Lepisosteus oculatus: one gene and its partner. The protein of the gene in region 1 interacts with the protein of each later gene in a pairwise test. Links are inferred from orthologs where the notes say so. Each region holds a gene or a part of one and is shown in the gene's direction. Other genes may lie near its edges.

Region 1 (3,753 bases):
CACTGTTGACAAGAGCCACCAACCCGGTGACGTCACCGCTACCCAGAACCCCCCCCTTGTCTCCCAGCGCCTTTCCGGCAGAGAGGAGGGTCAATGCCGGGCTCCAGGTCGTGCAGGAAGAGAGTCGGAAAAACAGGGGGAAGGGGACACTTCCTAAGACACAAGAGTCATTTCCAGAAGCCCGGGTCCTTGCCAACCAAGATCGCTACGTTCTCAGTCGAAAAACCAAGGGCTTAAAACTTACTTCCCTGCGCCGTGTTTGAATGTACCCCCAAACCCCCTGAAAATAGATCTGTATTTTTAATTTGAGGGTCTCCGAATCACAACTGTACAACAGGTTTTTTTTTTCCCCACAGATTAAATGGGGACCTGGGAACTCTCTTTCATTGTTGTCAATAACTAATTCAGAATTAATAACTCGCTTTAGTACGCGTTCGTAGGGAAAATGCGACGTGAAAACTCAGCTCTGCTGATCTGTTACAGTAACAGACGCCGTTACAGCCTGAACTGTGTTTCAATTCCTGCTCTCGGCCGCCCAGCAATCAATTTAAACTTCACGCACAGCTGACTTTTACCGTCGACTTTCATGACGTCGTGATATACAGTAGCTAGCGAAGCTTAATCCGCGCAGGGAAAACGATAAAAGTGGATAAATTCACTCGTGGGCACTCCAGTCACACTCGAGAGCAACTGCAGCGTCCCCACCCACCGTCCCAAACTCGGCTGCCGCTGCCTCACGGGGCTAAATCTTTCATCCAAAACTGCCGCCCACTTCCACCGGGGGACAACCTGTAATCTAATTAAAGTCTTTAATCGCGCCATGAAGCATATCGCAGTTTCCTCGGTCGACGTTAAACACGATGCAGCGTTTCGCGGGTCTCACCTCTCCAATACGCTAAATCGACGTCTCTTTTCAAGTAAACTCTTCAGGCCTTGTTTCTCCGGACAGGTACGTCAAGCTCCTTCTTTCGCTTAAACTGAGACGTCATAGCCTTCGCTTACCACAGTAAACATCACCTCCATGTAAAGGAGGGATTAGGGGGAATTCGGGGTTTTGTAGTCCTTGCAGTTTCCTTTCGGTAATGAGAAAAGCCAGAAAGGAACTACAATTACCACAAAAGCCTGGAGGTCTTGCAACGATACCATTATAGACGAGTTTAAAACACCGAGAACATGACGCTTAAAATTAGAAACATATTGTACTTTCAAACCAAATTACATTGAAATTAAAATTTAATATGTAAATTAACTGCATATTTTGGGAATTACAGATTCCGTTCATACTTAATCTCCCCCTTAGCCGATGCTAAATGGTTCCGTCCTCCAGGCGACCCGACGGAATCAACCATTCGATAAACAAAAGGGAATTTCAAGTATCGGGATACAAAAACAACATTGAAATAACATAATATAAATCAAGTTATGATCGGATGAATTATAACAGTTAGTAAATTAAATCCAAATCATAGCGCTTCTTTCGCTAACATATTCAAGGAATTTTGTTGTTGTTTACGACTAGCCCGCCTCCCACTCCTACGAAAAATATACGGGTCGAGCGCGAGCGCTGCGGAAGTGCCATGTTGGTCGGAATCGGACTGTCTCCCTGGCAGCCGCAGAAACAAGAACCATACGAGGAGTCTGACGTGACACATATTCAGAGTAATTCAGCAGTTTAAAAAAAAAACAACTGAAGTCCGGTGAGTTACATTTTCAGTAAACGTTGTAAAAAGTATGTAAATAGTGTTTAAGTAACTGGCATGAATGAAGTTCATCCGGACGAACTGTGATTGCAATCCGAACTCCGTATGTTTACTTTTCTAACAATTCTTGGATAGGCGTCAATAATGACGTTGTATTTCCTCTTCAAAGAAAAATTTTCCTCATTCCAATTTGAAAGGTGCGTGATATTTTCTTTGGAATACCTGTAAATAAGCACGTTAAATTCTTGGCTATGCAACATTTTCAGTTTCAGAGAAAGACAAGAACTACTTAAAACTGTTAAGGCTTACGTTACACTACGTTTTGCATTTCTCGTCCTCTCGTTATCAGTCCGTCATTTAGGTATGTATTTTCTTAAACCACCTGCAATGTAACCCGAACATTGGTGTCTACATTGTGGATTTGTGTTACCGTTAACAGAGGGACAAAAAAGGAAGGTTTAGTTTCTTTAAGTTTCGTATCGTGCGTTTTCCCTGTTTTGTGTGCAAAGCAGTGATCAGAAACTGCCGTCACGGTGACTGTTTAGAACAAGCTTACACCACATTTGGGGGATGCTTCGCGTAGTCATGCACCCCTTCACACAGGCTTTTTTTTGTTTTGTTTTTTAAGGACAGGCTGCACCGTGCTAAACATGTCTCTATGACGTATTTTCACAAGCCCCTCCCGCGGCCCGCCCACCAATCATGGCGAAGGACTCGCTGGCGGAAGCCGGCCTCCACTTCGACGAGCTCAACAAGCTGCGCGTGCTGGAGCCCGAGGTGGCCCAGAAGACCACCGAGCTGAAGGAGGAATGCCGAGACTTTGTGGAGAGTAAGTGGAGCAGGTGGAGCAGCCGGGGGAGACGGGCAGGAATGCTTAATAATAACAACATCACTTTATTAACCCTTTACAATTTCTTGCATTAGGAATTATCTTTTCGCATACCCCAGCTTGCTCTCCATGAGACACACAGACAGGGAGAGAAGCTGGGGGTCAGAGCGCAGGGTCAGCCATTGTACAGCACCCCTGGAGCGGTTGGGGTTAAGGGCCTTGCTCAAGGGCCCAACGGAGTAGGATTCTTCTGCCGGCTGCGGGATTTGAACCAGCAATCTTCTAGCCACAGGCGCAGATCGTGAGCCACAGAGCCACTGCTCCGCCCAATCCCAGGAATCAAAATGGGCCGGTAGCTTTTGTGTGCCGTTAAATTGTTAATAATCATAATTGGTGGTGGTGGAGGGAGTCCCCATTATCTGTAAAGCACTTTGAGTAGAGTGTCCAGTAAAGCGCTATATAAGTGTAAGCAATTATTATTGTTTTGCGTGCCATTCAATTGTAATTCTAAAGCACCAGTTTTAATGCTCTGCATCTCAAGATGCTGTACAAACCCACATTAAAGGAAGCATTAAAAACAGGATAAAGTGGCAGAAAAATATGACTGTAATTGAAAGATTAAAGTAAATCTTTAGCCAAGTTCGAGGGGCTGTGGTACATGCACATGGAAATTGTTAATGTAGTGTGGAAGTGGAGTAGTTTAAAATGTCTTTGCACTTATCTAATGACAACATTAACATTCATGTATTGGTAGTGCTTTAAATTGACTTGATAATTATACACATTTCTGTACAGAAAACCTTTAAATTTGGTATTGCATATTTAAAAAATAATCCAGGTAAGTTTTATGCAGGAGCCGAGGGTCAGACTGTTTCTTTTTCAGAGATTGGCCAGTTTCAGAAGATTGTTGGAGGGTTGATAGAGCTGGTGGACGAGCTGGCAAAAGAGGCTGAGACAGAGAAAATGAAGGTACGGGTTCAATCATTAATGATTTCACGTCATGAACAAGACGGTAAATTGCAAGACGATCTCTCAGTCACTGTAGCTATCCAATACTGTTGTTTAACACCTGAAATGAATCTTCTCCTATCCTGCTTTTCCCACAGCCTGTAAAACTATCTGAAATGCACCTGCCTTTGCACCTTAGTAAAACAACTCCTCAAAAAAGGTGACCTCCTTGTTGACTGTGTCCTGTGCTGCCCCCTACAGGCAATTGGTGCCAGG
Region 2 (3,753 bases), on another chromosome or scaffold:
TGGCCCGTACACTGCGATATCTTTTCCCAGATGACAGGATGGCAAAGAGTTTGTGGGAGGGATGCGAGGGGTCATCTACTATACTGGAGGCCCTGTGTAAGCAGCGTTTGTGATAGGTGACAGAAATGGAAGGGAGGGAGGCTCCAATGATCTGTTCATCTGTTTCCACAATTGTTTGCAGGGTCTTGTGGTCTGAAGCGTTGCAGTTTCCAAACCAGACAGTGACACAGCTGGTCAAGGTGCACTCAGTGGCGCTTCTGTAGAAGGTGGTAAGAATGGGCAGGGGAAAGGTTTGCCCTCCTCAGTCACCGCAGGAAATAAAGATGCTGCTGTTTTTTCTTTCTTGGCTAGGGAGGTGGTATTGAGGGACCAGGTGAGGTCACCTGTAATGTGTACACCTAGAAATGTGGCGCTTCTGTCTCCACAGGGAAGTCATTGATGTGCAGTGGGGAGTGATCAGCGTGGACACTTCTGAAGTCAATGATTATCTCTTGTTTTGTTTAAATTAAGAGATAGGTTGGTGTTTGTGCACCAGTCCACTAGTTGCTCCACCTCCTCTCTGCATGGTGACTCATCATGGTTGCTAATGAGGCCCACCACTGTCGGCAAACTTGATGAAGCAGTTTTGATGAAGCTTGGCAGTATAGTCGTGAGTCATCAGTGTGAACAGCAGTGGGCTGAGCACACAGCCCTGGGGGGTTCTGGTACTCAATCGGATGGTGCTGGAGATGTTATTACCGATCCGGACTGTCTGAAGAAGTGGAAGGATAAGATGTGTTGTAGCTGGCTGATTAAGCATCTTCCTGTTGCCATGCTCATGTTTCTGTCTGAAATACAGTTGTATTTCTACAGCACCTTTCATCTGAAAGAGTTTCATGCAAATGGAGAGACCCGATTCATTAAGCACTGAAGTGCTGCACACGCCTGGGGCGAGCACCCTGCCACACCCCAGATCAGGCAGAGAGGTGAGAAAGTGAATTCAGGGGGAACTGCAGCTCAGGCACACTGTGCAAGCTCAGAGTGGAATTAAGATAAAATAAGATAAAGATCACTTTATTAGCCATATACAATGTATATTCCTTGCACTAGGAATTAGTCTTTTCGCATACCCCAGCTTGCTCTCCATGAGACACGCAGTCAGGGAGAACTTTATATCTGATTTATTTCTTAATTTAAGTCTGAATTCTTTCAAAATACAAATGGAGAAGTAATATCCTACCAAATAAAGGAACTTCTGTGCTTTCAAAAAATATACACTATAATATTAGAACAGCACGTCTTTCTGCCGAGCCCTTAACATCATTTGAACTAACAAATCGTTGCCTTGCGTGGTTTGAACGACAACCTTTAAATTCTGTTCTTAAATTTTGGAGAAGGGTTAAATTACCTTCTCCTCCTATCTTGGAGGAGAAGTAGCGGCTGTTATTTAAAGGGAGCTGCGGCGGCGCCAACTGTCTCTTAAGTGAAAGCGCAGGATGAGGAGCATTTGTTTCAAGGGCACAGAGAATGGCTACCTGGCAGCCTCATAGTTCTGGTAGAGAAAAGCAAAGGGAGTAAAAAGATAACTCGGGTGGGTTTACTGATCACATCTCCCTCACGAAGGCAGATGAAGTGTTCCTCAAGTTGGGTTGTGGGATAATGCGAGGTGCCAGATGCTTTATAGTACGGTCCATCTCTCCGGGGGGCGGAAGCTGTGTCCATATTTCTGACATTAAGGAACAAGTAAAGGTGTATTCCATGCTGAAAAGAGAAGAAAGGAAACAACGTGCTGTGGTGCCTTCTTCGGGTGGGAACGCAGCTACCTGAACTATTTCTGGCATTAAGTTGAGTTTGTTCAGTGTGGCCTTTGGTAGGGTTACCATACGTACGTTTTTTTTCTTGGATATATTCTCCTGTTCAGTTCTTAACCGCCGGTAAATTTAAAATGTCCGGGACTTTTTTCCTTTACTCTTTTCCCCCCAGTGGTTATTTTAAATGGTTCTTGGGACTAAGAAAGTATCATTCGAGATAGAGATTCGGTGTTGAGTTGATTACAGTCGTAGTCTAAATCGTGTCCCCGTCCTGTTTGTTTTCCGTTTTGAACAGGTATGCGATTTAATAGACCCGAGTGCAGATAACCAGAACCGCCCTCTATTCCACGAAAATTATCTTGTCCTTAATGCATCGCCCCACTGTGATTCCCGACGCGCAGAGCCTTAAAATCATCACCTCTGAACCCGAGGTTGTGCTTCTCTCCCAGAACAAAAAAAAAACAAATTCTCTCTTCAGGTGACGGGGGATCAGCAGACTTTACTAGAGAAGTTAGGTCAGACAGAAACTCAGATGTTTGACGTGCTTCGTGGTGACACCAACAATTGCTGCTATGAGAACGACCTCTGTGTAGCTATATGCATGTATGGAGTTCAATAAAGTGTGTTGCCATTTAAACGTGCTGCTCCTGTCTGAGACACGCATATAGCGCAAGGTTCCGCGTACGTAGGAACTCGTTGTTCGAGTAGCCCGGGTTTCTACACGGAGCCTCCATGTAGACGGAACCGGAACACATCGAACATGGCGTTTAACTTTGGAGGCGCTCCCTCTAACACTGCGGGTAAGTGTTGTAAAAATATGTTGTGTTGGTCGTTATGGTTGCAGCCGAAGGTCTCTCCATATGGCTGTCTTATCAGATGGAAGTGAAAAATTAGTTTAAACTGTGTTGAAACTAATGTTTTCTGTCAGTGACGGGTCTCTTGTCTCCGGCCGCGCCGTGTTGCAGGTTGAAAGACATGTTAGGCTGTTTTATAGCCGGTAGGCTGCCTCTGTTACTTTACATTAGTAGTTCCTCATTGCACTTCAGTGGTTCTGATATAGGTTCATTTGGTATTTATAGTGTAGTTTAAAAAGTATGTTAAGGATTGATATAGACTACAGTTTGGGTGTGTATAGTTTTACAGCTTTATATTAGCATGTAATTGATCTTGCATTTGGATATGCTATTGTGTTATTTCATGACAGCTGATATTTCGAGAGTGATCCAGAGAATGAAAAGCAAAGCCTGCCTGAAGTATCCAGAATTTCCACTGGATAATGTACGAGCCCTGTGCTTGATAACTTCTAACATTGCAATACACGTTAAAAATCCTCACATAGGTACCCCGTCTACTAATAATTTCTGCAGGACACACACTCATCATTTGATAAGCAAGCACAATTGATTCCAAAATGTCTTCGTAGGCGAACTCTTGTAAAAGCGACAATAAATTCCCATTTAAAAATCTCCGATTCGTTCTAAGTGCTCAGAACTGGACTTAAACCAGCTGTGTTTAGGTACTTTTCTGATGTTTTTAGATAGTTTGGCACCATAACTCGCTAAGTATACGTTACAGATAGAACTTATCAATTTATCAACAGTTCGTTTTTATGCAAGCTGATATTTTAAATGTATTATGAAGCCGTGATGTGGAGAAATTAAAATTTCAAGGTCTCTGGTACATGAGAACAATATATATGACATTAACATAAAAAAGGATTTTTGTTTAGTAAGACAGTTTGTTCAGTTAATAAATCTTGTGCTGTCAAAGACTTAATCCCTGTATTGTAATTTTAGTATAAAAGTAAGATGGCTCCTCAACCTGTCTGGTCATATCAATATCGTGAATTCATCATAGTGCCCATAATCAAAACATACCATTTGTATAACATTTTGTGAATCAATATTATCTTTACAGATTATGTATTCAAAATATTATCCATCCATCCATCCATCTATCCATT

Evidence for each region.
Region 2: the proteins of ift20 (region 1) and nup54 interact in binary tests that used the Homo sapiens proteins (3 or more experiments, as listed by UniProt). The two-hybrid records come from large-scale screens. The link is inferred for Lepisosteus oculatus from reciprocal best matches to the Homo sapiens genes IFT20 and NUP54.

What each region holds. Positions count from the first base shown.
Region 1 is NC_090721.1:8,406,015-8,409,767, reverse strand, and holds the start of ift20 (intraflagellar transport protein 20 homolog), read left to right. Parts: upstream 1-1,387; 5' UTR 1,388-1,697; intron 1,698-2,328; exon of another isoform or gene 2,329-2,333; 5' UTR 2,334-2,402; coding exon 2,403-2,529; intron 2,530-3,412; coding exon 3,413-3,498; intron 3,499-3,738; coding exon 3,739-3,753. UniProt on the Homo sapiens protein: Part of intraflagellar transport (IFT) particles involved in ciliary process assembly. May play a role in the trafficking of ciliary membrane proteins from the Golgi complex to the cilium.
Region 2 is NC_090698.1:66,800,948-66,804,700, forward strand, and holds the start of nup54 (nucleoporin p54), read left to right. Parts: upstream 1-1,487; 5' UTR 1,488-2,550; coding exon 2,551-2,590; intron 2,591-3,753. UniProt on the Homo sapiens protein: Component of the nuclear pore complex, a complex required for the trafficking across the nuclear membrane.